Callithrix jacchus: one gene and its partners. The protein of the gene in region 5 interacts with the protein of the main gene of each other region in a pairwise test. Links are inferred from orthologs where the notes say so. Each region holds a gene or a part of one and is shown on either strand. Other genes may lie near its edges.

Region 1 (4,010 bases), on a different chromosome or scaffold from region 5:
AATGTCCTCTGATAATTATGATAGAATTTCATTTTAAATATTGGAAAAAGTCTACAAGAGAGCTTCAGATAAAAAAAACTGATGATGTGGCCAGGCGCAGTGGCTCATGCCTGTAATCCCAGCACTTTGGGAGGCCAAGGCGGGTGAATCACGAGGTCAAGAGATCGAGACCATCCTGGTCAACATGGTGAAACCCCATCTCTACTAAAAATACAAAAAATTAGCTGGGCATGGTGGCACAAGCCTGTAATCCCAGCTACTCAGGAGGCTGAGGCAGGAGAACTGCTTGAACCCAGGAAGCAGAGGTTGCGGTGAGCAGAGATTGCGCCATTGCACTTCAGCCTGGGTAACGAGCAAAACTCCGTCTCAAATAAAAATAAAAATAAAAAATAAAAAATAAAAAAACCTGATGATGTATGGAATGTCTCAAGAATAATACACACAAATACCTGGTAACCATGGTTACCCTGGGTAAAAAAGAAGGAAGCGGAATAGGGGTACAAAGAAAACATCTTTCCACTGTATTAAATTTCTTAAAAATCATGTGTGCCTAAAGTCATAAACTGTGAGCCACTGGTACAATCAAATAGTTTTACTACAAAGTGGCTAGCCATCTATATATATAATAACTAATACTGGAAGGTATCACTATCAAGAGAAACTTTCAAGACAACAAATCTCCTGACAAAATGAACACAAAGATTAATAAAAATAGGCCGGACAGAGTGGCTCACACCTATAATCTCAGCACTCTGGGGGGCCGAGACGGGGGATCATGAGGTCAAGAGATCAAGACCATCCTGGCCAACATGGTGAAGTGCCATCTCTACTGAAAATACAAAAATTAGCTGGGCACCTGTAGTCCCAGCTACTCAGGAGGTTGAGGCAGGAGAATTGCTTGAATATGGGAGGCAAAGGTTGTAGTGAGCCAAGATCGTGCCACTGCACTCCAGCCTGAGCAACAAAGCCAGACTACTACGTCCCCCCAAAAAATAAAAGATTAATAAAAATTCAGGCAGAGAAGAGCCATAAGCAAAAAGTAAAAAGGAGTACAATAATGTGCTATGAACTTCAAAAAGAGGTTAAAACACACATACACAGAAAATGGGAAAGACTCGAAGAGTACAGAGTAATAGTTTAGAGTCAGAATTCCTGGATTCGAATCCAGGCTTCACCATTACTTATTAGCTCAGTAAACTAGAGCACACTGCTTTACCCCTCTGACCCTAATCTATAAAACGGAGATTATAGAATTTACTTCGAGGAATTTAAGCAACAAATTTTAACCTGCAAAATCATATATTAGCTTAATCTGCACAATTCTATAAGTAGGTATTATATCAACCCCATTTTATATTCAAAAGTTCTGGCTTAGAAAGAGGTTGAGTTGAAGGGCATCCAACTACTAAATGACAGGGCCAAAATTCGAATTTAGATGTAATTCTTAAGAGTATGTCCTCCCTCTTTTGTGGTACTTCAAGATCCTACAATCTCCATCTGGTAGAAAAGTCCTCTTTAAAACATCTATAGAGCTCACACAACAGCTTGTCTATCCAACATATCCATAAAAATGGAATGGTTAATAATGAAGACAGACTACGAGGAATGCCCTGTAAAGAGATGATAAAAGAAACAGAAGTCATCAAAGTGGCTCAAGCCTGTAATTCCCACACTTTGGGAGGCTGAGGTGAGAGGATATGGCTTGAGGCAAAGAGTTCCAGATCAGCCTGAGGCAATACAGCAAGACCCTGACTCTAAAAGGTTAAAAAAGAATGGTTTTGGTTTTTTTTAGCAGAATGTTGTGGCCCATGGCTGTAGTCCTAGCTAGAGGATCGCTTGAGCCTAGGAGTTCGAGGCAGCAGTGAACTATGATCACTGTACTCCAGCCTGGACGACAGAGTGAGACAACCTCAGAAAAAGAAACTGTCCATAACTTCAAAATCGATAAAAGAATATAATCACACCAAAACAGTCTAATACACATACAAAATAACGGCAATTGTAACATTTTAACATCTAGTATAACTGCTGTTACTAAATGTTATAAGTTGAAGGGACTCTAGAATGTACACAAGGGAACTGTATTACAGTAGTCCAACCCTAAAAGAGAAGTTTAGACAAGGGAGGAGTTCAGGAACAACTTTCTCCAAGGGCATCTAAATAAAATCCTGGGAATACTAAAGTGTGCGAGATGAAGGAGACGATTACGAAGTCAGTCGAAGTCCAAGTTGGGAGCGCTAGAGCAGGGCAAGGCAGCAATGTGCTAGCTCAGAAGTTGACTGTAGTGGAAGGTAGAGGGAGACCTGGAAGAGAAGGAGGATCTGAGCATTAAAATCAGCTGGCGGGAACAGGACCAGATGTAGAAGAGCTGAAGCAAGCAGCAGTGAACAAAAGGAATGGGAAGAGAAACAGGCCCCAAGGCAGGTGGCATTTTACAAGCCCAAATCTTGACGCTTTCCCCCGGCCTCTTCGGCCGTCGGTAGGGGCCGGGTTGCGAGCAAAAGGCGCAGAACCCTAAGCAGTTGGGGGCGGGGACGCGGAGCGCGGCCGACCGGGAGCCGAGCTGAGAGTCCCACGCTTCCGGTCCCAAGCAGGCCTTCTGGAACCCTGGCTACAGCCCGAAAGTTCCAGGCGGGCACTGTCACCACAGTCAAGGCGTTCTATTCCAGATCTTCCCGCCTCCTCCCCTTGGTAAACTTTTCCCGGGAACTTACCCGCCATTTCCGATATACGAGCACCCGCGGCTGAGGAAGGACGAATCAACCCGCGCGCTCCCGGGCCGGAAGTGACCGCACAGTCTGACACATTTCCCCCGCCCACTCCCAGCGTGACGTTAGCCAATGAAAGGAGGCTTATCCAGGAGCCCGGCGGCGGAAGCGTTTGAAGAGGCGGGGCTAACGCCGAGAAGTCTGCGCGGGCCGTTGCCTAGCCACCGCGAATGCCGTCAGCCGCTTTGCCTGCCTGAAGTGGAGAAGGAGGCCGCAAATAGGAGCTTCGCTGTTGAGATGCTCTCAGGCACTAGGAAAGTTTCTCTCGGATTGATTTGAACAATACAGACACTTTACGCCTGTTTTCTATACCCGTCCCTGAGATGTTTTGGAGACTGGATGAAAATCTTTCCTCTTGGCCTGGACAGTGCATCCAAACACCTGAGCCCTATGGGCAATTTTACCCTAGGTAAGATTTTACCTAGGTAAAATGCAAGGGTTGAGTTTCAGTTGCGGGAGAAATTTTCACTTCTTATTTTCCTAATTTGTTTCTAGTATTGCTGTATACTTTAACATCTTTTTTCCTTTCTCCCTTGTTTTTAACAGTATGCAGTGTGATAGGTACTCTGCTTTCACTCTTCTGGTTACTAAGCAACCGTTTAGCGCACGGACAAAAGTCGTTACCTAATAAATACCTCAAGGGGCCTGATGTAGTCTTGCATGCCACATGTCCTAGTGGTTTGAATCACATCACAGGTGTTACCTGATTTTAGCCATAGGCTTTGTTAGTACTTAGTAGCTGTTGGAACACTTTCGCCCAGAGGATAAACCACTATTTAGGTATCCACAAATATTCCCACAATGTTGTCTATACACCAGAAGTCCTTATCCCAACAAATATTTGTTAACAGGTTTTATAGTGATGCATGCTAAAGCTAAAATGGACCCTTGGCGGCCCTGCATGGTGGCTCACACCTGTAATCCCAGCCTGTGGGAGGCGGAGGAGGGCGGATCACGAGGTTAGGAGTTGGGGACCAGCCTGGCCAACATGGTGAAACCCAGTCTCTACAAAAATTAGCCAGGCGTGGTGGTGCGCGCCTGTAATCTCAGCTGCTCGGGAGGATGAGGCAGGAGAATCACTTGAACCTGGGAGGTGGAGGTTGTAGTGAGCCAAGATCGTGCCATTGCACTCCAGCCTGGGAAATCGAGTGAGATTCTGTTTCAAAAAAAAAAAGAAAAATGGACTCTTGGGATGATGATGTGGAACTAACATGCCCTGTCATTTTAGAGATGAGGAAATCA
Region 2 (4,080 bases), on a different chromosome or scaffold from region 5:
GCCATGATCAAGCCACTGCACTCCAGCCTGGCCAACAGAGCAAGACCTTGTCTCAAAAGATAATAAATAAACAAACAAACAAACATCCATCTGCGGGTGGAGCTTTAACAGTTTTACCTATAGGGGTGTCCAATGGAGAAAAAAAACTGGAGTCGTTGAACACAATGCTATTTTGCCACTCAGAGAGCATCTGGCAGTCTCTGGAGACATATTTGGTAGTCACCATGGGGAGAGTGGGGAGCCATTGGCATCTAGTGGGTGGAGCCCAGGGATGCTGTTAAATGTTCCCCATAACAGGACAGTCCCCCACACAAAGAACTAGGCAGCCCAAAATGTCAAGCGTGCTGGGCTTAAGAAACCCTTGCCCGAGCGCCCCAGACTTAGTCTTGCTTTGGGGGCTCCGCAGGCTGCTTCATCTCCCCACTCTATTCCTCCCCCAGACCTCCAATTCCAGTGACGCTGTACAAAGCATCCCCTCCTCCAACGAGGCAGCCATCTCTGATGTCCCCAGGCTGGGCCAGAGCCCCACCACTCTAGGGCTACCAGATGCATCCTGTACAAGGTTCGAATTGTCCCGGCCCACCGCGTTCTCAACCATGGCAGATTCCCTGGATCCCTGAGACAGCCGGATTCTACCGGGTTACTAGAGACCAAGAATCTGTATTTTTCTCAAGCACCGCTCCCCGCACCACACACACACACACTGCCTGCCCCATCAAGGGCACACAGCAGGTGGCCCAGTGCTAGTGGAGCGCCTACTGCAAGCCAGGCGCTATTACGCGATCCACTCGGGAATCTTGGCACAGGCTCCACTCCATGGTGTAGAAACCAGGATCTTCCCCATTTCACAGAGCAGTAAACTGAGGCTCAAAGAAGTGACCGTAGCGGGACAGAGACTCAGGGCAGGAAAAGGGCCCAGGTCCTCAGAAGCTCCAGATTCCCGGGGGAGGAGGGAGGACAGAGGAGGGTGATGGACTGGGGGAGCGCGCGCTGGGTGGGGGGGCGCGGGGCTTCGCCGCGGCCTTCCGATGCAGCCCCGCCCCCACGAGGGACGTGAAGACGCGGACCCCGCGCAGCGTGGGGACATGTGACCGACTGCAGAGGCCGCGCCGCCTCCCCCGCCCGAGGTCTGCGCGCTCCGCCGCAGGGTGCAGACCCGGGGCTCCCGCCTGGGTTTGGGGCGCAAGAGCAAAGGCGGAGCCAGGGCGGAGCCAGCGCGCCCGGTCCCCCCCGAACCGAAAGCGAAACAGGGGCCGGGGAGGAAGGGCGGAGCCGGCCCCGAGGCACCGCCCCCTGCCCTGCGCGGCTGCTGGACCGACGGGCGCGCCCAGGTAGGGGGGCGGCTGAGCCGCGCAGTGCGGACCCTCGCGGGGACCTGCGCCGCCGCCACCATGTCTCAGGAAGGTGTGGAGGTAGGAGATGGCTACGGCTGGTCCGGGGGGGAGCCGCGACAGAGCCCGAGGAGCGGCCAGGAGGCGCGGAAGGGGCTTCGCAGTTCCTGGGGACCCCCATCCTAGAACCCCAGATCCTTACCCCTGCCTTGCGCTCGCCCCCCTTGAAAAGGAAAGTGACTCCCACGTTTCCCCAGAGCAAAATGAGGCCTCCCTGAGGAAAAGCGGGGGCTGCAGGGTCAAAGGTCAGAGGCCAGAGATAACCTGGCCGACCCCCCACCTTAGGCTGGGACGCTCGCCCCGGCCCGCGCCCTCCCCCAACGCCCTGTGGGGACTTTGGCTTTTTCCAGGAAATGCCGTAGAGGGATGGGGGGGGGGCGGCGGAGGCCAAAACCAAGGGTCAAGTTCAGGCCGGGAGAACGGTGCCTAGTAATGGGGGAGGGAAGATCGCGCGTCCCCTTCCCCCAGCGGAGCCCCCGTGTCCCCATCCCAGCTGGAGAAGAGCGTCCGGCGCCTCCGGGAGAAGTTTCATGGGAAGGTATCCTCCAAGAAGGCGGGGGCTCTGATGAGGAAATTCGGCAGCGACCACACGGGAGTGGGGCGCTCCATCGTGTACGGTGAGGCTGAGGGGGCCCGGGCCTGGTGCGGGGACCGCGCGTGGGATCGCCGAGGGGGCGTGGTGTAGGGAGAGGCGTTGAGATCACCTCCCCTGGAGATCCCAGCTTGGGGGAGGCTCTGCGTCGCGGTTCTGGGTGGCCTGGAACTCCCACAGACCCTTCAAAGGCCCTTCCCTTATGCGCACTCTCCCCGCAGGGGTAAAGCAAAAAGATGGCCAAGAACTGAGTAACGGCCTGGATGCCCAGGTAACCCTTCCCCTCTCAAAGGACTGGGTCACGGGAGGGAGAGCAAGAGGGGGCCCGACCCGTTCATGGGGACCCTCCTCTGAAACAGCAGGGACCAGGCATTGTCGTCTGCAACTCATGCCCAATCTTACTCACTTTTTCACCTCTCCATCGTTTGCGAGACCAGGGAGCCTGCAAACAGTAGGCGCTCATTATGTGCTGATTGTATTCAATGGGAGAGAGAGAGCCATGAAACTAGGCAATGAAAGGAGCCAGGATTATTGCCATGGTAGGGGAGCCCCAGAGGTCAGAGAAGGCTTCCTGGAGGAGGAGGTACCACGTCTTAAAGGATGGGGTGTAGTGAGCCCTAGGAGGGGAAGCCAGGGGTCTTGGGGTGGGGGAGGGAATGGTATGAGCAAAGACTGGAAGTGGGGAAGGGTTGTTAGTGGCAGTCCCTAAAAAGGCTGCGATGAGCAGGGGATTGGGGAGGAGAGAGAGGTGGGGAAATGGAACCCTTGTGTTGAGTGAGTGAGTGAGTGAGTGAATGAATGAATGAATGAATGGTTTTGAAGCACAGGTTCAACGCGGCTACTTTGCTTCTTGGAGAGCTTTGGTGATGGGAACGCTGTGGATTTCATCTGCCTGAAAGGCTCAGTGTAGGGCTGTAAAAGAGTATAATAAAATATGCATCATAGTCCACATTTACACATGTAAAAGTATGATAAAAATATAGCAGAGGGGCCGGGTGCAGTGGCTCATGCCTGTAATCCCAGCACTTTGGGAGGTAGAGGCAGGCAGATCACTTGACGTCAGGAGTTCGAGATTAGCCTGGCTAACATGGTGAAACCCCGTATCTGCTAAAAACACAAAAAATTAGCTGGGTGTGGTGGTGCATGCCTGCAATCACAGCTACTTGGGAGGCTGAGGCAGGAGAATCACTTGAATCCGAGAGGCGGAGGTTGCAGTGAGCCGAGATCGTGCCATTGCTCTCCAGCCTGGGCGACAAGAGCAAAAAACTCCATCTCAAAAATAAAATAATAATAACAATAACAGAGGGTAGCATTGATTGAGTACTTCCCACATGGCGAGACTCCAGGAATTGATTTATTTCATCACCACAGTGACCCAGGAGACAGGTCCTATTATTTATCATCCCCATTTCATAGACAAAGAAACTGAGGCTTAAGTCACTTGCCAGGTTCTCGAGGCAAGCAGGTGGCAGCTGAGATTTGAACCCTGGCCACCTGGAGTCAGAGCCTGAGCTCTGACATGCCTGTCAGTCAGTGGGAACCCAGGGGGCAGGGAGTGGCTTGCCCAAGTCCCCACAACTGGAAGTGATAGAGTTAGGATTCAAACCTGAATCTCAACCCAGATTCCCACCACTTATCTCTGGCACAGTGTGGCGTCAAAGGGGTGATGCATCACAACACCAACAAGCATGTAGCATTTGCAGGCAGGAAGTGAGTATGGGAGTCAGGCTGGCTTCACTCAGGCAAGTCCTCCACTAAGCCTCAGTTTCTCCAGTGCAGCAATAATGTCACAGGTGTGCCCACTTCTCAGGGCTGTTATGAGGACAACTGAGACCACACACCTGGCTCTCAGTAAGTGGGCAGTGCTCTGTGAGTTCCTGGCGAGTTAGGGGCACCCCATTTTCCTTGTAGCCAGGCCTCTACCCCAGCAAACAGATGGAAAGAGGCCTGAGCCCCATCCCCCATTTCTGCCCCTGCTATCTCCACCCAGGACCCACCAGAAGATATGAAACAGGACCGGGACATTGAGGTGAGTTGGTGGCTGTGGCTAGGGATGGGGAAGTGGGGAGGAGGACATCTGCAGGCACAGAAGCATGT
Region 3 (4,296 bases), on a different chromosome or scaffold from region 5:
TCTGCCCTTGTTCTTCAAGTCAAGAAATCTTGGTTTGTTTGAACTAAATATCTGTGAATTGAGACCAGATATTTGCTTCTAGTCTACTGGAAAATCAGAATTCAGGGAAATGGAGATTTTTTACTTACTTCCGCCTTCACCTATAGGATGGAAGGGTTCCCTAAAGGCAGGATCCAAGGGAGAGTGGGCTTGCAACCGTCAGAGTCCCAGATCTGAATCATGGCTTTGCCACTGTCCAGCTGGTCTGTTTCCTCATCTCCTGTATGTGAGGTGACATTTGCCAAACAAGGTTGTTTTGAGATTAGGAAAGAAGGGTACGTTCAAGAATCTATTCTTTCAAAAATGCCTGGCAGGTGTGAGATGTTCAGTATTAGCAGAACCCGAGATGATTAATACTACTAGCTACTTTCAGGGCATAGGCAGTGCCCAACTTTAAGTTCATGTAACAAGACCTGAACGGACTCGGTGCTTTCTTCCAGAGAAAAAGAAGCCAGTAGAATCCCAACAAGCCTTTAGAATGGAAATCTTCCGCAGACAACAGGCACTCAAGCAACAAAATCTGGCTGGCTTCCCTTACTTCCTCACTTCCAGGGGCGGGAGGGAATACAAACCGTGCCCCTTGCCCTAGTCTCAGTTCTCCACAGGGCTGGCTTCTCTGGAATGAGTCCTCCCTCTGGGCGGGCAAAGAGCAAGATCTTGTGCTCCTGCTCCTCGGAACACTCCCGCGCTCCCCAGCTCCTTCTAGATGCAGCGACGGCAGCTCTGCCTCCTCGCCAGGCGCCGCATTCCCCAGGCAGCGGGGAGTAGGGGGTGTCCCCGGGTTCCTGGGCGTGGAACGCAGTGGCCTCAGAAACTGTCCGTACTCTACCACTCCACTGGCACCAGCCAGCACCTCCCTCTCCCTTCCCCCTGGCAGAGCACGTGCGAGGGGTGCGTGCACCCCAGGCAGTCCCCCAAAGCGCGCCTCCTGGAAAGGCGCCATCCATCACCTCCCATTCCGGCGGATTCTCGCCAGAGCCCAGCCAGGGAACGCTCCTCCGGCCAGCCCCAAAGATACTTGCGGTGTGTATGTGCGTGCGTGTGGGGGGGGGGTACTTTCTGGGACCCACTTTCATAGCCCTCTCTACCCCCATTTCTCACAGGGGTGTGGGGGGAAGAGAACTAGGAAGCCAAGACCACTGAATCCGGAGTACTTCCAAATCCGTTACACTTCCAATCGTCCTCATAGCATCACCTTAGTTTATCGGCATTTCTCCCTAGCATCGAAGCTCTGCCAAAACCCCGCAAGTGACACCCCACAAAAACCCCGCGCCCCTGCTGCCTGCCCAACTCTCGCCCCACAGCGCAGCCTCCAGGCCTGGCACCTTCCGTCCGGGGTAAGACTCCTTGCTTTCCCGGAGCGGAACCCAGTCAACAGGTTTCGGAAGTTTCCCACCTCCTCACTCCAACTCCCCTCCGGGAGCCCCCAAGCGGACCTCGCTTAAGGCAAAGAAGCCTAGAGGTCTCCCCTAAATCTGCGCTCACACAGGGTCCCGCCCCCTCTTCCCTCCCCTCTTTTTTCCTCCCTTGCAGCTCCAGTCCCCGCGCCTCCGGCTTCTCCAGCGCCAGCGGTTCTCTCGCCCAAGAAGAGGAAACTTCTTTCTGGGCTAAATTCAGGTCTGAGCAGGAAAGGCTTTCCCTCCCCGTCGGCATCAGAGGCGCGCTCACCCCCTATCCCCCAAAAGACCTCATTTCCCCCTCTCCCCACGATCACCCTCTGAGACTTTGCCTCGGATTTTTAGTGTTACTCGACTTTTTGTGTCAAAAGGTCCAGCCGTCTCTGAAACCACCACGGAGGCACTATGGATTTTTCTCAAGACTCTACCAGTCCCGCGTGGCTTGCAAAAGACAAGTAAACAAAACACGGACCCGGCAACTTTGGGGTGTGTGTGTGTGTGTGTCCGCGCGCCCGCGCGCGGGAGACAGAGCATCGCCCAAGAGTTAGGGCAACAGCTGCTAGAACACATCTGGAAGAGGGGGAGGGAGTTCCACGCAGAGGGGACAAGAAGCCCCCAGTGGCTTCAGGGCCTAGGGCTGGGCCAGCCTGTAGTCCATTACCTGTCCTATGTTGATGAATCCGTACTTGCTGGCGATGCGGTCGGCCTCCGGGAAGCCCCCGGCGATTTTGACCGCCCAGTGGTTGGTGTAGACGCGCGTCCTGCACACGGGGAGCAGGCAGCCCCCGAGCAGCGCCAGCACGCACAGCAGGTCCAGGCGTCCTGGGCAGCAGCAGCGGCTCCCCCAGCCCATAGTCCCGGCGCCTCGCTGCTCCCTAGCTCGCTGGCTGGCTGGCTCAGCGCACTAAGGGCGCGCACAACTAACTTCTCCGGCCTGGGCCGCCCGGCGCACAGCCCGTGGCCGCCGCAGCTCGCAGCCCCGGGCGACCGGTAGGAGGCGGTAAGCCCCGGCAGGGAGCAGAGCAGCGAGCCTCGCGCCGGCTCCTAGACCATCCCTGGGGCCGCGAGGACCTGTGCTCCCAGCTCAGGCCCGTGGAGCGCTCGGCGATGCTCCCCGGCTCGGGCGCAGGAGGCGGCTGAGTGGGGCGGGCGTCCTCCGCAGTTGGGCTTCGCCGGGCTCGGCTCCCGGACTCTCCGACTCGCTCTCGTTTCTCCGGGGGCCCCCGAGCGCGGCGGAGACAGCCAGTGAGAGCGGTGCAGGCAGCGACCGGGCGCCCCCTCTGCTGGCCCAGGCTCCGAGCGCTCGCTTACTTGCTCCCTGCGCTCCCTCCGGCTCCGAGCAGCGCGCGAGGATTCTGAGTGGCAATGGCAGCAGCTCCTGCTCTGCATAAATGACTTCCCCCGCCCCCCTTAACACCCCTCCTTTCCCACATCCCCCTCCTCCTCTCCCTCCTCCGCCCTCCTGAAAGCGGCCGCAACCGGGGCGCCCACCAGGTCCTAGCGCCTCCGGGTTCTCCCAGCTGCAAGTCTTTCCACAGCGCTGCGAACAGAGCTCCGAGGCCGTGGTTTTACCCTCCTTTTTACCTCCCTGCTGGATTTGTCTAAATGTACCGCCACTTCCCGAAAGACTAAAGACATTTACACGCCGGTGTGAGTTAAGCACCCTGAAGATTCATTCATCCTCGCTCTAAATGTCCTTAAACAACTAGGCATTTAAGGAGGTCCCTTGCGTTTCAATTGCCGAACAAATAACCCGAGATTTTCACTTCGTTAATTCTTCATGCTTTTCAGCAACTGTTTATTTTACACATTCTGCTCCTGGGAGAAGTTACCACACAACACAGGACGGTAAGTCGCATCGACTCCTAGGAAAGCCAACAACCGTGGCTCGAAAGCCAAGTCCGTTGCCTGCTCACTTTCGAAATCAGCGCATCCGATACTAGGCAACGCCAAGGGAGAGTAAAATTCCGGCCTTGGAAGTGAGGAAACATGTTTCTATGAATATCTGGTATACTAGTGGATGGAGATGTTGGGCCAAAGGAATAACTCCATTCATTTGTTGGATTACGTCTGACGAGGGCGTCTTTTCCTCCACCAAGGGAAAAGTTTTCCAACTTTTCCAAGCACAGTCCTGTAACAGTGAAAGACTTTAATATAAAAAAGACCACAGGAGAAGTTCAGATGAAATATGTGGCCGCGTCACCTTCATTACTGCAGCAGGCAGGAGGGAGCCCAAATTAACCCTCCTCTTGCTTCTCCTTTACAACCTCCCTGCCTTCTTGGAGCGGGGGTGGGACACAGAGTGATTTATTGTGACAAGAAAAATTACCTCTTACGAAGTAATTCAACTGACCTTAAAAGTGTTCGCTATATCCCTAACTGTCCTTTCTCTCCTACTACCATGCACTATTTCTTTCTTCCTAAATGTGTTTGAGATTAATTAACTCCTTCCACCTATAGCTTTTGGTACTGATTTTTTTTTTTTTTAATCTGAAACATACCTGCAGACTTAAAATTCCACTAGTACCTCTGGTCATAGCATTTGACATTTTACACATTGTATAAGGTATGCTATATTATTTCATCTTGAAAACAAACCCACGAAATAAAATTATCCCCACATTATAGATAAGAAATAGAAGATCAGAAGAACTAAAACATGTGCAGAAGGGTATGTTATTTTATTCGTTTATTTATTTGACTGATTCAACACATCTGTTTGGAGCACCTAGCATGTGTTATGAATTGTGCTGAGCACTGGAGAAAGGGGAAGGGGGGACACAAAAAATTAGTGGAATTCAGAATCTGTGACTACTCTAGAGTAAATGTGGTTTATTACTGTATTTAATACACTCTCAGC
Region 4 (4,068 bases), on a different chromosome or scaffold from region 5:
AGCACTTCTTCAGGGCCTCCTGCACGGCAACCAGAGGCTGGTCTTGAGTCATCTTCTGTTGAAAAAGATAAAAACATAAAGAAAATAACCATGTAGGGATGCCAAGTCAGTCGGGGAGGCACTGGGTCGAGGGTGGGCGGTCATCTCCATGCTCGTGTTTGGACAGGAGTTGTCTCACCTCCAGAAGTGGCTTCTTTTTTTTAGATGGAGTCTCACTCCATCTCCCAGGCTGGAGTGCAGTGGCACGATCTCGGCTCACTGCAACCTCCACCTTCCAAGTTCAAGCGATTCTCCTGCCTCAGCCTTCAGAGTAGCTGGGATTACAGGTGCCTGCCGGCCGGGCACAGTAGCTCACGCCTGTAATCCCAGCACTTTGGGAGGCCGAGGCGGGTGGATCACGAGGTCAACCGATCAAGACCATCCTGGTCAAAATGGTGAAACCCTGTCTCTACTAAAGATACAAAAAAAAAAAAAAAAAAAAAATTAGCTGGGCATGGTGGTACGTGCCTGTAATCCTAGCTACTTGGGAGGCTGAGGCAGGAGAATTGCCTGAACCCAGGAGGCGGAGGTTGCAGTGAGCCGAGATCGCGCCATTGCACTCCAGCCTGGGTAACGAGCGAAACTCCATCTCAAAATAAATAAATAAACAAACAAACAAACAAATAAATAAATACAGGTGCCTGCCACCATGCCCAGCTAATTTTTGTATTTTTAGTAGAGACGAGATTTCGCCATGGTGGCCAGACTGGTCTTGAACTCCTGAACCGCCCGCCTCGGCCTCCCAAAGTGCTGGGATTACAGGATTGAGCCACCGCGTCAGGCCCTGCCTCAGCTTTGTGAAGGAGATCCTGGCTTTCCCTCGGGAAGGGTTACCTGGATAGGGCACTCTCCTACTTCAGAGGATTCCCAGCATCCAAGCGCCGTCTATTCTCTAACCCAGAGGCCAGTCTCCCCTGCCCGAGGCTGCCGGTTGCCTTCCTGAAACCAGCAGAGACAGCCAAAGTGTGAGAACACTCCAGACCTGCACACGCACCCGTAGTCTGTCTGCATGTGCTCAAACACGAACATCTCCCAAAGCTCCTCTAGCCTGCAGGGCTACTGCGTCGCGAAAATATATCGTGTTGCCACAATGACTTCTGGGTACTGTAGTCCCACATGTGGATTGGCCACTTGGCTTGAAGTTTCCTTGGGATGTTGCAGCCGTCCCAACACGGCAACTTCTCATTTGTCAGCCTGCAGCAGTTTAAATTAGTGGCGGTGTTACCACATCCTATTAGCTAAGAGTCACTTCCTCTAAGCTTGCGCCTCCGGCTATGTCTTAATGACACATTTCACAATGTTTGTGGCACAGCCAACTGGCAAAAACTAGTGAATCAGGGGCTCCTGACGTGGCAGCTCTAGCTAAGATGCAGGGTGATGTCCTAGGTGCCCAGGGAAGTCGGGCGCATTGGGGAGTGGAGTGAGAGAAGCGCTGAAACCAAGAGGCTGGAAGCCAGACTTGCCCAGCATAAAAACACCTGCTGGGGGGAGCCTGCATGAGGTACCGGTTGTCATCCCCTCTCATCTTGGCCATCTGCCTGATGAAGATTCTCAGGCACCCAGCAGACTGGAGTGTCACCCCCATCACCCACTGCCCAGGGCTGACCTCGGGCGGAAGAGTGACATTCAAATACTTGTTGCATATGGAGCAACAGGACAGGCTGGAAGGGAGAGAAAGGACTCTCCCTGGCAAGAGGAAGGGCCAGGCTTGCCAGGGCTCCTATGTTCCACCTGCTGTGTCTCCAAGCTCGCTGGTGCCTATCAGGAGCCTGCTTGGCACCTTTGCTTATTTCCTCGATTGTTCCTGAACTCAGAGGGGGAGAGGGAAGATTATCACCCCTACAGTCTATAAAATGCACACTTAAACACAAACACAACCCCTCTGACATGGCTTCAGACCGCATCCACAGGTGAAAAGCACCAAATCCAATCATACCACAAACCCATCAAGAGCTCACCAGTCTGGCTGTCCGGCTGCCACCCGCCTTGAGACTCAGCCTGAGCTATCGCTCTGATCCCTGGAGACTTCAAGACTAGCCTCTAGCCTTGCTGGGCCTCAGCACAACCCCCGATCAATCCAACCCTGTGGCTGTGGACAGATGCCAAGATACACAGTTAGCACCTCCGACTGTACCGCGGCTCGGCCGGGCTCGCCGTCTACACGTCCATTCCCAGGCCCACGGCCTCGACACCCAGGGCTGCCTCCTGCCTTGGGCTCCCTGGAGTCTAGCGGCCGCGGCTCCTACTGCAGTCACCGGACAGCCAGCTGCCAAGCGCCACTACTGCACCTGAAGTCGCGACCCCGCACTCCGCACCCAGTCGAGGCGCCGAGATGTTAACTGGGCAGGAGGGTCCAGCCCGCGGGCGACCGAGGAACGAGAGGGTTCCCCCCACTCGCTGCCCAGACTGGCCGGGCTGGCGCGCCCACCCCAAAGCCTGCACCCCCCGCCCCCTTCCAAACACTGCTGAGTGGGGCTGCTGTGTCTCCGCCGACCCTCCACTTGCCCGAAGTTCCCTCCACTTTTCCGAAGTTCGGCCTGGGGTGCTTGGGGCCCTGAGGAGCGCAGAGGTAGACAGACAGCCAGTCAGTAGTCAGTCAATCAGTGGGTCACGGCGGCCCTCGGCTACTCAGCTGCAACCAGGCCAGAAAGAAGCAGCCTCCTAAAGTGCTGGGATTCCCGGCTTCCAAGCGGGCCCCCGTCGTCCTGGTCGGCCCTCAGCCCTCCAGAGCTTACAGTGTCGAGGTGCCGTCGCAAGGCCTGCCGGGAATAGTAGTTAATATCGTTTGCAGCTGGCCAGGGCGGAGCCGGGTGGGCGTGGAGAGGGCGGGGAAACTATCTTGAACCACAACTCCCAGGAGCACTCGCGACGGCGGTGGCCGCGCTGACGTACTCAGGCTGTAGAGGGCGCATTGGGCTGGAGACCCCGGGCCGGCAAGAACTTGCTTGTGATTGGATGTTGTGGGACGGCGGCTTCTCATTCGTCAGCCTGTGGCCGTGGAGTTTGAATTGGGTGGCGGTTGGCGGTAGAGCCGCTTTCTCACAGGCACCGGGAGGTTTTGATCAGCCCTTGTCTCGGGACTGCAGGTACGTGCCTGGCGACTTCTTCGGGTGGCATTTGTCCGCCTTTCTCGTGCCTACCCGGTTCCTTGCCTCCCTGCCCCATCTCTGCCGCTACCCGCAGCCTCCGCCGAGCGCCATGGCTCCTAGGAAGGGCAGCAGTCGGGTGGCCAAAACCAACTCCTTACGGAAGCGGAAGCTCGCCTCCTTTCTGAAAGACTTCGACCGTGAAGGTAAGGAAGGGGCCGGGCAGTCGCGGCTTCCTGGGGCAGTCGCGGGATGCTGGCGGGTGGGGACACGAGCAGCACCTATTCACCCGCCCCGTGACCCGTGTCCCGTCGGCTCTGCCCTCCCGCAGTGGAAATACGAATCAAGCAGATTGAGTCAGACAGGCAGAACCTCCTCAAGGAGGTGGATAACCTGTACAACATCGAGATCCTGCGACTCCCCAAGGCGCTGCGCGAGATGAACTGGCTCGACTACTTCGGTAAGAGCTGCAGCCCCTTGGGGTTAGGTGACACCCTTCAGAAAGGGCTCGCTCGGATGTCACCTTTTAATGAGATCTGACATGAGCACTTATGGAAAATGGCAGACCTACTGTTCCCCTTCACTCTCTGTCTCACTTCCCTACTTCATTTTTCTCCATGCTTTTCTCTAAAGGTCTAGCTAGCAAATATTTTAGTCCACTGGTGCGGGGGTCGATGGGGGTCTCTGTCAGACTACTCAACTCTGTGATATGTGATACAGTTCCAAAACAGCTGTAGTGAATGGGCATGGATGGGCTGTATTGCAATAAAATTTTAGTTACGGATACACTGAAATGTGAATTTCACATAATTTTTCCACATCAGGAAATAGTATTTTTTTTAATTTATTTTTTAGACAGAGCCTCAGTCTATCATCCAGGCTGGAGTGCAGTGCAGTGGCGCGATCTTGGCTCACTGCAACTTCCACCTCCCAGGTTCAAGTA
Region 5 (4,300 bases):
TTAATTTATTCATAATTTATTCAGCTGACACAAACACTTATATTTGTTTGTTTTTCCATTACCCTCATTATCAGCTTCAACATGTAGAAATGAACTTAATTTTGTTAAATGGCTATTTCCCACACAGTTGGGGGAAGAGACAAATGTTATTAAATTATTCCTTTTTAAAAAAAAAAGTTTTATTAAAATAAATTAAGGAAATCAGTTATTGAATTCCATTTTCTTGGTTTCCCCCAAACAAAATAACATGTGCTTGCATGAAAATTGTTTGCCCTAAGAAACTTAAGGGCAGTGGCTCAGTTCCGGAAGCATAAGGCTATCATGTAGGTTTCTCATTGCAGAAAAATAAAATGAACAGTAAGGGCTTATGGGAATTGCAAGAGTACTCTCATCAGCCTGAACTGGGATCTCTTTCAAAAGTTACACTGATATCGAATGTTCAGTTTATAAAATTGTCACTGCATTCTAAAATCGACGGTTTTTCTAATAAAAATTGAAACCTTCTTACAACGATTAACCTTCCACTATCTAAAGGGAGTTTCACTTATAGTTAGGAAAATACAGTAAATATCAGTGACACCACTGCTAACTTTCTTATAAAAACTAATTTGTGATTGAACATTAAAAGTTCATCCCCTATCCTTGGAAAATAAAAGTTATTTTATTCTTCTGACAGAAGAATCTATCCCATACTAACGCTGAAGAACGATTGATATTGCTGCGAAGGGGAGAGGAATATTAAACATGCGGTCAATCATTTTCATTTATGTGACATCTCACCTAAAGCTTTAAAAAGCATAAACATTCCAATCCTTCAAACCAATATATGGGATTACCTTCTAGGACTATTATTAACCCAGTTCCGCAGAGGAAGAAAAATATACAAATATTATATTAAACAAATAATACCTTCCAAAAAGATGGAAGCCAGGGTGCACCATAGCCACGAAAGAAAACTCACAAGTCTCTCAATTTTAAAGTATCTTTTAACAATTTTATGATAATAGAAGTAGGTCAGAGCTTTGAAAAGTTGTCTGGAAAACTTTGAGTTTCTCTGGATTGCTACAATTTACTCTGCAAGTTGTGCCTTCAAGCACCAGAGGTCAGGAAGATTCCCCTTTTGCGTGGCTGCTCAAATTATCCTCACTGAAATCAGCGCTTCCTGCGCACCCTTGCATACGACCTTCAGGCACGTAGCTAACTGACACTACCCAAGTTGCTGTTCGCTACCCAGTATTTGCCGCAGCTAAAACCAACTTGGTAGAGGGATTTATTTTCCACTCTTGAAATTTAGATTCTGTAATTAACTTACACAACATGAACATGTACTATATTAAGGTTCGTCTTTCTTCCAGCGTGAGCATGTATTTATTTACAATTCTCTGACACATTCCTTAAAATCTGAATTCCTAGATAATATCTTCTTCCCTAAGAAGGGGAAATTTTTACCATTTGAAATAGGGTGCTATTTAAAGAACTCTCAAACAAGAATGTTTAAAAAAAAAAAACTAAAACTTTTTTTTTTTTCTCATGTGCTCTGCCAAGTTCCATTGCAAGTTCCAAATATTGTGCAATAATTTGGAAATCCAGTTTACGATGGGAAAAGTCAAGCCACTCAGAGTCGGGAACTTGCAAGAGAAAAGTCAAGAAGCAGCACCCGCACGCACGCACGCCTGCCCAACGGACGCGGCATCCCTGGGCACACGCCCCTCCCTCCCCCGCGCTGGGATGGAAGGTCACGCTTCGCAATCGATTTCACAGCCACTTGTCCTTTTTTATCAACCTTCTGGTAAACTAGTTTAGGACCTTGGAGAGCTTAGAGCTGCTAGCTGTGTTGCTCTCGGATAAACACGTGCCCCCAAATAACAGGACCAAAGCTTCACCGCCGAATTTAACACATTCCCCTCTTCCCCGCCGCCACCCTCCAGGGCCAGACTCTTCCCTGGCATCTCCCCGCCCCCTTTCCAGGCCGGCGCGCACTCTCGAGGGTGCCTGGCGCTCTCTTACCTGAGCTGTCGCTTTTCCTCTTGCCACCGCTTCGTTTCTCCGCCTCCGCAGGTGACAGTGCCTGGCGACCGTAGTCCCCTGGCGCGCACGAGGCCCCGGTCGGGGTGCTGGAGCCCAAGCTGGAAGAGTTGGAACACAGGACAGGCGGGCTGCTCCCCAACTCTGGGGGTCCTCCGGAGTCGGGCTGGAGGCAGAGGCTGTGCCGAGCCGCAGTCGGTGGGGAGGACATCTGCGGGAGGTGCCAATTGGTTTGCAGAGCCTGGTGCTGCTGCTGCTGATGGTGGTGATGGTGGTGATGATGGTGGTGGTGGTGCCCCCTGTGATGCTGGCTGGCAAACATGCCCTCTTCGTTGGGGTATCCCGCGATTATGCAAGATGAGGAAGAAGTAGAGAGCTCGGGGTAAGACATATGGTCAGATCTTCCATGCAGGGCTAGAGAGGATTGGGAGAACGGGTGCAAGCCTTGTGCCGTGGCGTGAGGGCTGCGCAGGCAGCCAAAGAGCGGGTGTTCCATAGCATGCAAGTTTCGGGTTCCAGGCAGAAGACTTCACGGCGGTTCTAAAGGCCACCACCCTCTGTCACTTTTCACTGGAAACCGTGTGATGTTTTTTACCCCTCTCAAAGCAATAGCCGTGCACTTCTGCAGAGCTCGGATAATCCCGGTCCTGAGCCCTAACGGCCAGTCTCCTTTACATATGAACAGTCGGACCTGGAAGAGCTTCCCTGAGCTACTCAGATGTCAAGAGTGGGAGAGGTTGAAGCCAAAAGAAGGTGGTCCCAGTGAACTGCCTTCAGGGGGAAATGGCTCTGAGAGGTTATAAATAGACTGTAACGTGAGCTGGGGGCTGGCTTAGGAGCCCAGAGTTGACCACATGCAAACTCCCTCCAAAACTCCCGCTCAGTCTGCGCCACGCGCTCCCAGTTCCACTTCCTATCGCCGGCTGGACAGACGCAGAGCGTCCACGCCCGCCTAGCCCTGCCAGCTACCAGGACTACAAGCGGCGCGCCAGCGTCTAAATCCCGCCCGGGAGGGCAGCGGCTCTGCCCTCCAGACTCTGGAGGCCAGGGCGCGGCGCGCACCAGCGCCAACCCAGCACCCTGTTTCCCACCTACTAATTTTTCTCTTGGGAAAACGTAACTTGTCAGTGTCATTTGGGAACTGTCACCTGCAGAAAAGCTAGGGATACGCCTAGCCTTTGAGGAACACGAAAGAAGTGATAGGGTTAAAGGAAAAGATCAGAGCTAGCCTGGCGCACTCTGGAAGTTTTTCAAACTTCGCATCTTCCCGTGCCCAGGGCGCCGCCGCGCGCCTAGGTTTTCGCAGTTAGTTTCTGTGGGTGGTGGTTAAGAGGCTGGGACGCCAGGTCTGAGGTTTCGGGGACGTGCACCATGGCCTGGAAAGTGTGGTTCACAGTGCGGAAAGACCTGAGAGGAAGACCTAAGGAAGACCTGGTGGGGTGGGTGGGAGGTAAGCGCGAATTGCAGATGCCTGCTCTCTGGCATCCTCACGTGCGATGCCCGGTGGAGTCTCCCTCCCCCCCGCTTTCCTGGTCTCGCTCAATTTCCTAGCCACTCGTCCACCAAGAAGAAATTTTCCTGGGTCAAGAATTATTTCCAAGCGATTTTGTCCCAGTCACATGAGATGTGTAGATTTGCATGCACATTTCTAGCCTCTCCCCTCCGGAGCTAGCCCAGGTCTCTTCAGTTCCCTCTAGAAATCCACTCTTCTGCTCAAAAATAAATCCACTAATCGTGTCTCTTAACACCACTGCTCCATTTACTGAGAAATCTTAAATTTCGATAGCTCTAAGAATTCACTAAGCTTGGGCGCTTGATTACATCTTTGCATCCCTGAAAATAAACTCGATAACTTGCCTCCAGTAAGCATGGGAGAGCGAGGGCAGGGCTTTGATACTGCCACTTGCTTGGTGAGCGACAAGATCCGCTGGGGCACAGTCGTTTATACACAAGTGAATGGGCTTTAATGAGCAGGAGGAACAGTCACGTCGGATCTGGGACGTGTCGGATCAGGAGAATATCTGTAGTCACCTATTCCACCCGGAGCCCCGACTGCACCACCAGCAGTGTCGCCCTGTTATTTTCATTGTCTCAGGTGTCCAGAGGATGGTGACCAGGTCTTTGAAGTTGTTAATGGGATTAATGGGTACAGCAAACTGGGCTAGACATCTGGTTTGAATTAGGAAAAAGTATTGATTAATCTTTGAGAGGTGTCCCCAAAGCAGAACCTTTCCTCTCCTCTTCCAGTCCCCCTGTTTAAGCCTATCTTTTCTTT
Region 6 (3,500 bases), on a different chromosome or scaffold from region 5:
TAATTAGAATGCATTTTGCTTTTTAAAAGCAGATGAGGCAAAATCCTAATTGTGACTTAAAAACCTTTCATACATTTTGAGTACAAAGATTCTGATAAACAATAAATAATTTTTGCTATTTTCTACACTGAAAAAGATTATTTCTTTTTCTTGTGGGAAATTCATATACAAATCTTAATATAACCAAAATACTGAGATGATACTTGAATTATGCTTTCTTTTCCATTTAGGACAAGAAATAAAAACTTAGGAGATTTCTCATATCTTAGTAACTCTCAGAGAAAGCAGAAACAAAACCCCACTTTTTTCTTTTACCATCTGGATCTTCAGCAGGCTGAATGCTCATGTACGGTTCTCCTTTCTCCATGCGAGACTGTCTCTGTCGACTTTCTTCCTCTAAAGCAGCTTCTGCACGACTTTTTGCATTTATGTAAGCAAGGTACGCGGGGGAATTATGATAGGCCTTCATAGATTCATTGTACTCTATCTGAAATTCAAATGTTTTTTGGTTTTATAATTAACATTTTGCAGGTTACAATGCAGACTTATGTTATCTTATTTGACTATCAAAAGTTATGACGTAAGCAGAGTGCTGGGATAATTATCTCTTTTTACAGACAAGAAATCGGAGGCCTTGAGAAGTTGACTTGACTTAGGTAGACAGAGCCTCAGTACAGCATCAGCCTTCTGACCAAATCTTATGTTTCCTTTATAAAGAGTAAGCCAATGTTTATGTACTTTACACATTATCTATCCCACTGTGATCCCCTACTCTACCTTTTCTGCTTCGTATTCGTTTAAATATTCTTGTTTTTCTTCATCAGTGAGATCTCGCCACATGCCACCAATAATCTTGCCAATCTCCCACAACTTTAGGTCAGGGTTGGAAGCCTTTACTTGGTCCCAGACCTTAAAAAGAAAACAGGTGAAATGTCAATACTGATGTCTAAATGTACAGACACTAAAAAATATGGAAACTTTTAAACATAAAAAGCAGAGAAAACAGGATCAAATTTCTATGTACTCATCAGCCTACTTCAACAATTATCAATGGCTGGCCAATCTCATGTCATCTTTGCCCTACTGGATTAAGATAGATCTCAGACATCATGCCATTCACTTATAAATACTTCAATTTGATAGACAAGAATATCTCTAATCACTACAGATGCTTAAGATGAATTACTTCAACAACATAGGCTGTGTCTCTGAAAGTTCATGTGAATTTAGAAGAAAATGCTTAATTTGCATAGCACAATACATCATATTTTTAAATACATATATAATAGTCAAGACCAAAAGGTTTAAAATTTCTGGATAGTGGTTAAAAGGCTCTGCCTTTTAATAAAGATATTGGCGATATTTTTTATTTTAAGAGGAATGTAGGTTCATCACCAAAAAAAAAAAATAGGGGAAATCTGAGGAAATATAAAGAAAATAAAAACTACTATAAGCTTACTGCTTAGAGAGAATCATTGTCTTCTGTGTTTTCCCCCTTCAAACTAACATGTGGTTGCTATTATGTTTATAAAAATAAGATTAATTCATATAGTCTTGTATTTCTCCTTCACTTAACATATTCCTCATGTCATTAAATATTCTACAAAAGACATGACTTTAATGGCTACAGAACATTCTGTCCTAAGGATTTTAAAAGTTTATTTAATCATGCTCCTCTTGTTGGATTTTGTTCTGGAATTTTGATATCAGAACTAATTGTTTTAAAAACTGTAGTTTTTTGGTCCTTTCCTCTGAATATGCACAGAAAAGCTGGCTAAGCCAATCTAAAATTGGATGTAAAGTGAAGAAGAGGCAAAGACAGTGTCCTCGCTCCTTTCCAGGTCCTAAGCGCCTACCTTTCTGCTGTACCTCATGTAGGGCATCAGCGGCTTATCTGGTGGCTTTGGGGGTTTTGGAATCGTAATACCAGAGGATGCCTACAAAAGAGTTAAATACATCAATTATTCAACTATAAGGAGTTCACCGGCAAACTGAAAAGAGAGTTCCTTAAAAAATTCTAATGCGCCTTTCTTCTACTCGTCCAAATATTTTCTCCACTGAAAATAGCTATTACTGCAAATTCAGAAATTTCAAAAGAAAATGACTTTAAGCACACAATTTTTAAATGTTTTGCTTAGCAGTTTACTGTCAATACTTTGACAACCTGGCTGTAAGAACAAATAAAATATTACATGATAACCCATACATTGAAAATATATGATTATATATCAACCGTCTCACATTCAGGACTTTACCTGGCACCCTCTGATTCTGCTCAATTACCGTTACACATACAGTCAACACTTGATTATCTGTAGCAGGATCTGAACCCTTAGCACTTACCATTCTCACACTGTCTATAGGAGCCTTAGTACCTATTAGCACTATGTTAGGAATGCACTCCCAACAATACCACCACAAAAACAACTTCCCAGGTTCAAAAACAAAAACAATTTGTGAAATAACAAACCACCTTACCTCCTTTGCCAGGCTAGAGATTTTATTTCTCTTAAGGTTCTGTCTGTTACCTAGTGGTTTTCTTATAAAGGGGAATGAGAAGTGTGAACTCAAGTCACACTTTTCTTTGTCCTTAGGCCTAATCAGTGTAAAAGCAAACAAGTTTATCAGGAACAGAGAAGTGGCAGATATGGGGCCTGATTATGTTATTTTTGAGGTCTTATATTGACAAGCTCCATTCCATTAAAAATCTTTGGTTTTATGGGAAAGACAAAAGAAAAGGAAAGATAGGATATGCAGGAAAACGGAGACAGGAGAAAAGGAGGGGGAGGTAAGACTGAAAAATATTTTTTAGTAAGGTAAAGCAAAAATAAGTGAGAGAAGAAATAGGAAGAAGGAAAGAGAAAGAGAAGTGATCAGTTTTTCCTCTGGTCTAAGGTCTAGGTGAGATTCCAGAGAGCTTCTTGTAGGTCACCCAGATAACAACCAACAACTATCTATTTCAACTTTTTAGTCTCCCCTTAATATGCATGACTGCATTTGATTAAAGACCCAGGATAAGAAAAAGCATTGCTATTTCAGACAATCTGCAAATTTTCAGGAGATCTCTGATACTGACTCTCCCTGGTAGGCGGGAAAAAAGCGATGGCTTTATACTAATTATCAAAAGACAGGATTGGCAAATCCTTGTAAGAAAACTAAAGTGACATTTTGTTCGCTTCCTCTTCTGTTGCTGCTGTGATAAAACCCCAGAGATACTCCTCCACTCTGGGCTGGGACCCCAATTATAACCTTATTTTGCATTTGAGGGATCTGGGATGGGCATGTTTGTGTCCCTTTCCACTATGATCAAGAAACGTTTCCTCTTCCTACAAGGGTCTCTCTCCTTCCCTGTAACTCTACTTCATATATGAAGTTATTAGAAAGCATTTTGGCTTGGGAGCAGTATTCCTCTCTTTCCATTCCTCCCATGCATTCTTACCACACCTCATGCTAGTGCCCAGGTAGACAGATCCTGTTTTCAGCCAGCAGTGGGCAACAGA
Region 7 (4,053 bases), on a different chromosome or scaffold from region 5:
GGAAGGGTGATACCCTTCTCTGGGACAAGATTTCCCTGGGTTGGTCACTTGGACTTCCAGGTAAACTTGAGAGCCATTCTCTGGGGTGGGAGCCCCGGAGCATCCAGGGAAGCCTGTCCAGGTGGCAGAATTCAGCACCCATGCCGGGCTCTCACCTCCCCTCTGCTCTGACAGTGTTGCCCTTCAGATAGTGCCCAACCCCTGGCAGGCCTCCATCCCCTTCCCACCTCCCCGTTTCCTCCCTTCCTTGCCTCATGGGAGGCAGGCACCACTGGCATTTGCTCATGGTTGAAAACAAACTAGAACACTGCACAAATAGAAGCATATTTTTTTAATAATTATTACGGTAAAACATCTTGAATAAATATGGAGTATGAACTTAAATAAATAAATATTTAAAAAATATAAATATATAAATAAATATTACTAATTTCTGCCAGTATAAAATAGTCCCGTTCCTCTGCCATTCCTGTATCAGGGTCAGTGTGGCCTAGGGCAGGTCCGGGCCACCCCCACAATGGCTGGTCCCTTGGTCCCTCCAAGATGACCATTCTGAGTTTCTAGTTCTTGTTTCATGAGAAAGCAGCTCCCCAGGCTGGCCAGCCTCATCTGGCCGGCCTCACTCCTGGACTGGATCCCAGCAGTCAACAGGGATGGCAAGCAGAAAGTCCTTCAGGTTCTCTTTGAAACTTTCAAAGGTGATAATCTTGGTTGCACAGGAAGTTTCCTTTAAAAAAAGGAAAATAAAAAACACTTGAGTCCAGGCAAGTGGGTAACGTGGGGGAAACACCAGCATGCTTCTGTGCTGCCTCTCAGAACTCAGAGGCCAGGAGGCCCACTCCAAGACCTACCACTGACCTGAGTCAGGTGACGCTGCTGCCACCCACGTGTTCCCCAAGGAGTGCACAGCTCTGTAAGTGGCACCTGGAGCCAAGGGCCTGACTTAAGTGCCAGCCTGAGGTTGGTCTTCTGGGCAGTCAAACGCCTGCCTTTTTGATCTCAGGACAGGGCAGGACAGGGCAGCTGGGCTGAGGCCGTCTCCAGGAACCCAGAAGGAGCGGAGGCAAGGCCACAGACTTTGCTCCCTTCCCGCAGGAAGGAGTGCCTGAGGCCCTTGTCCATTCTAGCTTGCCTCCCTCCCTTGATTCTGTACAATTCAGGCACCTATATGAGGCCAGGGGAAAGTCCTGCCAGCAGGTGGCACTTGGGCCAGGGCACTTCCTCTGGCCCTTGGGCAGGCCCCGAATTTCCTTGGGTTTGCCTAACCTCTGACCTCATTAACCATAATAACAATAATGACCAGAATAGAAGCAGCTCCTGCTGGGGAGCACTGTGGGCTTTAGTGCTTCATGGCTCTGACTCCTTAGGATGAAATGGGCCATCTGCCTCCTCTCTGGAGGGCTAATCGTTACATAGCTGTTGGCACGGAAACCCCTTGAGGTCCTGAACAGCCACAGCCAGAGGTCTCTCCTCATGTGGACCCCACCCCCCTAGACTAAGACCTTCCTGCTGGGGGCTCTGCCATATGCACTCACCAGGGTTGGGGGGCAGTGCTGCTTGTAGTGGCTGGCTATCATGGTCAAGAGTCCCTTGAGCTTGGTGAGGCTACCCCACAGGCTTTCCTTGTACAGCTCCAGGCGGGTCTGTAGGCAGGTCGGCTCCTGTGGGAAATGTCGTTCCTCGGTGAGCAATGGCCAAGGGCCTGCAGTGGCACAGGAACTCTCCGCCACTCCTTTCTGCTGCCATCCCCAGCTCCCAGGAGTAGGGTTTGGGAGGGGCACAGCCTGGGTCCAGTCATACACCCTGCCCTGTCCACAGTAGGCATGAACTTGCCCTCCTCACTACCCAGCCCAGGCCACCCTCAACGGCACCTGGAGAGGATCCCAGCCTTAGGGAAAGAGGTCACTCTCACCCTATCATTCAGGGAGTGGGCAGGGCCTTGCCTGAACCTGCTGGGTAGGCAAGGGTTGTTTCTGAAACCCCTCTGTGCCTCTCTGTAGTCAGCACTGTCTCAATAGGACTTGGCCTCAGGGCACGGTGAGCACCCCAAACCCACAGCTCCTATCTCATGAAGTGACCCTCACTTTACCACCTGTACCCTGGCTCCTGGCCCTTGAATGCTAGGTCTGCTCATGCCACTCAGCTGATAAAGGAGTTTATGTGACTGCCACAGCGGCATGGCCAGCAGCCTCTTGAGCACCAAGGCAGCTCTTGCTGCCCCCTCCTCCTGGCAGACAGTTGATTGGAGAGAAAGTGGACAACCCTGTGAGGTGCCATCTAAAATAGAGTCCCCACCTCTACCCCAGGGCAGGGGCTCTGGAAAGCTATGTCAGAGAGAAGCATCTTACCTGGCGGTCAAACATTTCTGAGACCACTTCTACTGTTTCATTCTGTAGAAAAGGAAAATGTCATGTTATCAAGCTGACAGGCATGGCCAGCCCAGGGCCAGCAGGGTGGCCTAGGCACAGGGCCATGCTCTCTCTCTCACTTACTGTCTCAGGAGCAGTGTCTCTACTCAGGTTCAGGAGACGCTGGGCCTCCTGGATGGCATTCACATGCTTCGAGGGCTGTGTGTCGGGGCTGGGCAAGTGGGTAGGTGCAGAGATGCTGCCGGCCACAGTGCCCAAGAGCAGCAGGTTCTGCAGCCACATCCTCCTGAGAACTTTAGCCTTTCTCTCTGTGTACTGGGCTCACTGGCAAAAGAGCTCTTAAATACACAGAGGAAATGATTAATGGTGACCACAAAACGCCAGGGAGGCGGGGGAACTACCTGAACTGTGGAATCTCCTGGCCCTTATCAGCCACACATGGGAACGGTGAGCCTTTTCCTCAGGTGGTCAGACTCGGGGGTTTTCATTAATGAACCTTTCCAAGAACCGACAGCCCACCCACCCACCTCCCTGAGGGCTCTCCAGCCTTCCCTGGGCAGTCTGAATGGGTCTGAGGCTGCCCCCTCCTTCTGAGGGGCACAGCTTGGACTTCCTGGCCTGGAATGGCTGGGGTAGGGTGTAGGAGATACTTAGATAGAGATCTTTATCCTGCCTATAATCCCAGGGGCCTTTCAGCAGGCCGTGCCCACCCTGGTGCCTCATTCTGACTCTAGCCTTCCTCTTCTCTGGCCACTATGAAAGACTTGCGTGTGAGGGGAGCTCTCACAGACCTTCCCCCTTGATGGTTCACACAGACTCCCACCCAGGACTCGGAGCAGCTGGAAAACTCAGTCCAGTAAGGGGGACCCCTGCCCCTGTGAGCAGAGGGAATCACCACCATGTGCACATCCAGCCACAAGACTGCAGCCACTCTCAGCAAGCTTTAGAGGGGGTGGGGCTGGGCCAAGTCAGGATCCAGAGTCTGACTCTTGGCTCTGGAGCCACCTTGCTGAGTGACTCCTCTCTCTGGTTATGTGAGCCTTGACTCCCTCTGCAGAGCAGGTTACCCCTCTGAGGTGGGCTCTACATACCTACATGTAGCCCCCAGAAGGCACCAGGAGTTTCAGGCTGGCTTCAGGACTGTGGCTGTACCCGTTGCAGGTACAGGGACAATGGCTTTCTCAGCAAGGTCTTCCAGGCTTAATCTCCTTCATAGCCCCAGCAGCCCCCAACTCCAGAGGCCTTTCTGTGGAAGTAGGAACTGCTTCTGAAAAGCTCAAGGGGCTGACAAGTGTTTGATTTTCACAATGGAGTTCAGAGAAGACAGCACGAGTTTGTGTTTGCACAAGGTATCTGGCTCAAGCTGACCCATGCCTGGGGTTTCATAGCTAAAGGGGTGTGGGCCCACATGTGTCCATTTCTGGGTGTATGTGTGCTGCTGTGATTGGTTGCATCTGTACATACAAGTGTGTCGTGGAGGAGAGAATGTTTTTCGTGCAGATGCATCTTACCTGAGAGTCCTCTTACCTGCTTTGTGTGAGTCCTCTTACCTGCTTTGTGAAAGGCTCCAGGCCTCTGAAGGTGCCCCCTAATACTGGAGAAGCTCCTCACCCAGGGTGCAGTGCCTCTGGGCTCCAGAGGCTGACTCAGCCGAAACCAATGGGGTCGGACACAAGCGAGAACA

Evidence for each region.
Region 1: the proteins of MEOX2 (region 5) and HAT1 interact in binary tests that used the Homo sapiens proteins (3 or more experiments, as listed by UniProt). The two-hybrid records come from large-scale screens. The link is inferred for Callithrix jacchus from reciprocal best matches to the Homo sapiens genes MEOX2 and HAT1.
Region 2: the proteins of MEOX2 (region 5) and SHFL interact in binary tests that used the Homo sapiens proteins (3 or more experiments, as listed by UniProt). The two-hybrid records come from large-scale screens. The link is inferred for Callithrix jacchus from reciprocal best matches to the Homo sapiens genes MEOX2 and SHFL.
Region 3: the proteins of MEOX2 (region 5) and PCSK5 interact in binary tests that used the Homo sapiens proteins (3 or more experiments, as listed by UniProt). The two-hybrid records come from large-scale screens. The link is inferred for Callithrix jacchus from reciprocal best matches to the Homo sapiens genes MEOX2 and PCSK5.
Region 4: the proteins of MEOX2 (region 5) and AIRIM interact in binary tests that used the Homo sapiens proteins (3 or more experiments, as listed by UniProt). The two-hybrid records come from large-scale screens. The link is inferred for Callithrix jacchus from reciprocal best matches to the Homo sapiens genes MEOX2 and AIRIM.
Region 6: the proteins of MEOX2 (region 5) and SMARCE1 interact in binary tests that used the Homo sapiens proteins (3 or more experiments, as listed by UniProt). The two-hybrid records come from large-scale screens. The link is inferred for Callithrix jacchus from reciprocal best matches to the Homo sapiens genes MEOX2 and SMARCE1.
Region 7: the proteins of MEOX2 (region 5) and CSF2 interact in binary tests that used the Homo sapiens proteins (3 or more experiments, as listed by UniProt). The two-hybrid records come from large-scale screens. The link is inferred for Callithrix jacchus from reciprocal best matches to the Homo sapiens genes MEOX2 and CSF2.

The regions. Positions count from the first base shown.
Region 1 is NC_133507.1:57,607,835-57,611,844, forward strand, and holds the start of HAT1 (histone acetyltransferase type B catalytic subunit), read right to left. Parts: upstream 2,801-4,010; 5' UTR 2,722-2,800; coding exon 2,715-2,721; intron 2,304-2,714; exon of another isoform or gene 2,209-2,303; intron 1-2,208. UniProt on the Homo sapiens protein: Histone acetyltransferase that plays a role in different biological processes including cell cycle progression, glucose metabolism, histone production or DNA damage repair. Coordinates histone production and acetylation via H4 promoter binding.
Region 2 is NC_133523.1:9,278,832-9,282,911, forward strand, and holds the start of SHFL (shiftless antiviral inhibitor of ribosomal frameshifting protein), read left to right. Parts: upstream 1-1,280; 5' UTR 1,281-1,391; coding exon 1,392-1,412; intron 1,413-1,884; coding exon 1,885-2,008; intron 2,009-2,204; coding exon 2,205-2,254; intron 2,255-3,973; coding exon 3,974-4,012; intron 4,013-4,080.
Region 3 is NC_133502.1:85,654,769-85,659,064, reverse strand, and holds the start of PCSK5 (proprotein convertase subtilisin/kexin type 5), read right to left. Parts: upstream 2,801-4,296; 5' UTR 2,290-2,800; coding exon 2,098-2,289; intron 1,779-2,097; exon of another isoform or gene 1,651-1,778; coding exon of another isoform or gene 1,573-1,650; intron 1,377-1,572; coding exon of another isoform or gene 1,261-1,376; intron 1,063-1,260; coding exon of another isoform or gene 592-1,062; intron 1-591. Other genes in the region: uncharacterized protein LOC144578083, read left to right, coding at 592-1,062, 1,261-1,376, 1,573-1,650. UniProt on the Homo sapiens protein: Serine endoprotease that processes various proproteins by cleavage at paired basic amino acids, recognizing the RXXX[KR]R consensus motif. Likely functions in the constitutive and regulated secretory pathways.
Region 4 is NC_133508.1:74,246,375-74,250,442, forward strand, and holds the start of AIRIM (AFG2-interacting ribosome maturation factor), read right to left. Parts: upstream 2,801-4,068; 5' UTR 2,545-2,800; intron 2,129-2,544; exon of another isoform or gene 1,998-2,128; intron 1,085-1,997; exon of another isoform or gene 979-1,084; 5' UTR 874-978; exon of another isoform or gene 757-873; intron 452-756; 5' UTR 179-451; intron 61-178; exon of another isoform or gene 56-60; 5' UTR 53-55; coding exon 1-52. Other genes in the region: CDCA8 (borealin), read left to right, coding at 3,238-3,331, 3,457-3,585. UniProt on the Homo sapiens protein: Part of the 55LCC heterohexameric ATPase complex which is chromatin-associated and promotes replisome proteostasis to maintain replication fork progression and genome stability.
Region 5 is NC_133512.1:42,792,488-42,796,787, reverse strand, and holds the start of MEOX2 (homeobox protein MOX-2), read right to left. Parts: upstream 2,801-4,300; 5' UTR 2,522-2,800; coding exon 2,008-2,521; exon of another isoform or gene 1,967-2,007; intron 1-1,966. UniProt on the Homo sapiens protein: Mesodermal transcription factor that plays a key role in somitogenesis and somitogenesis and limb muscle differentiation. Required during limb development for normal appendicular muscle formation and for the normal regulation of myogenic genes.
Region 6 is NC_133506.1:92,631,896-92,635,395, reverse strand, and holds part of SMARCE1 (SWI/SNF-related matrix-associated actin-dependent regulator of chromatin subfamily E member 1), read right to left. Parts: intron 1,938-3,500; coding exon 1,857-1,937; intron 910-1,856; coding exon 778-909; intron 488-777; coding exon 316-487; intron 1-315. UniProt on the Homo sapiens protein: Involved in transcriptional activation and repression of select genes by chromatin remodeling (alteration of DNA-nucleosome topology).
Region 7 is NC_133503.1:76,378,993-76,383,045, forward strand, and holds CSF2 (granulocyte-macrophage colony-stimulating factor), read right to left. Parts: upstream 2,684-4,053; 5' UTR 2,652-2,683; coding exon 2,493-2,651; intron 2,391-2,492; coding exon 2,349-2,390; intron 1,662-2,348; coding exon 1,536-1,661; intron 728-1,535; coding exon 620-727; 3' UTR 501-619; downstream 1-500. UniProt on the Homo sapiens protein: Cytokine that stimulates the growth and differentiation of hematopoietic precursor cells from various lineages, including granulocytes, macrophages, eosinophils and erythrocytes.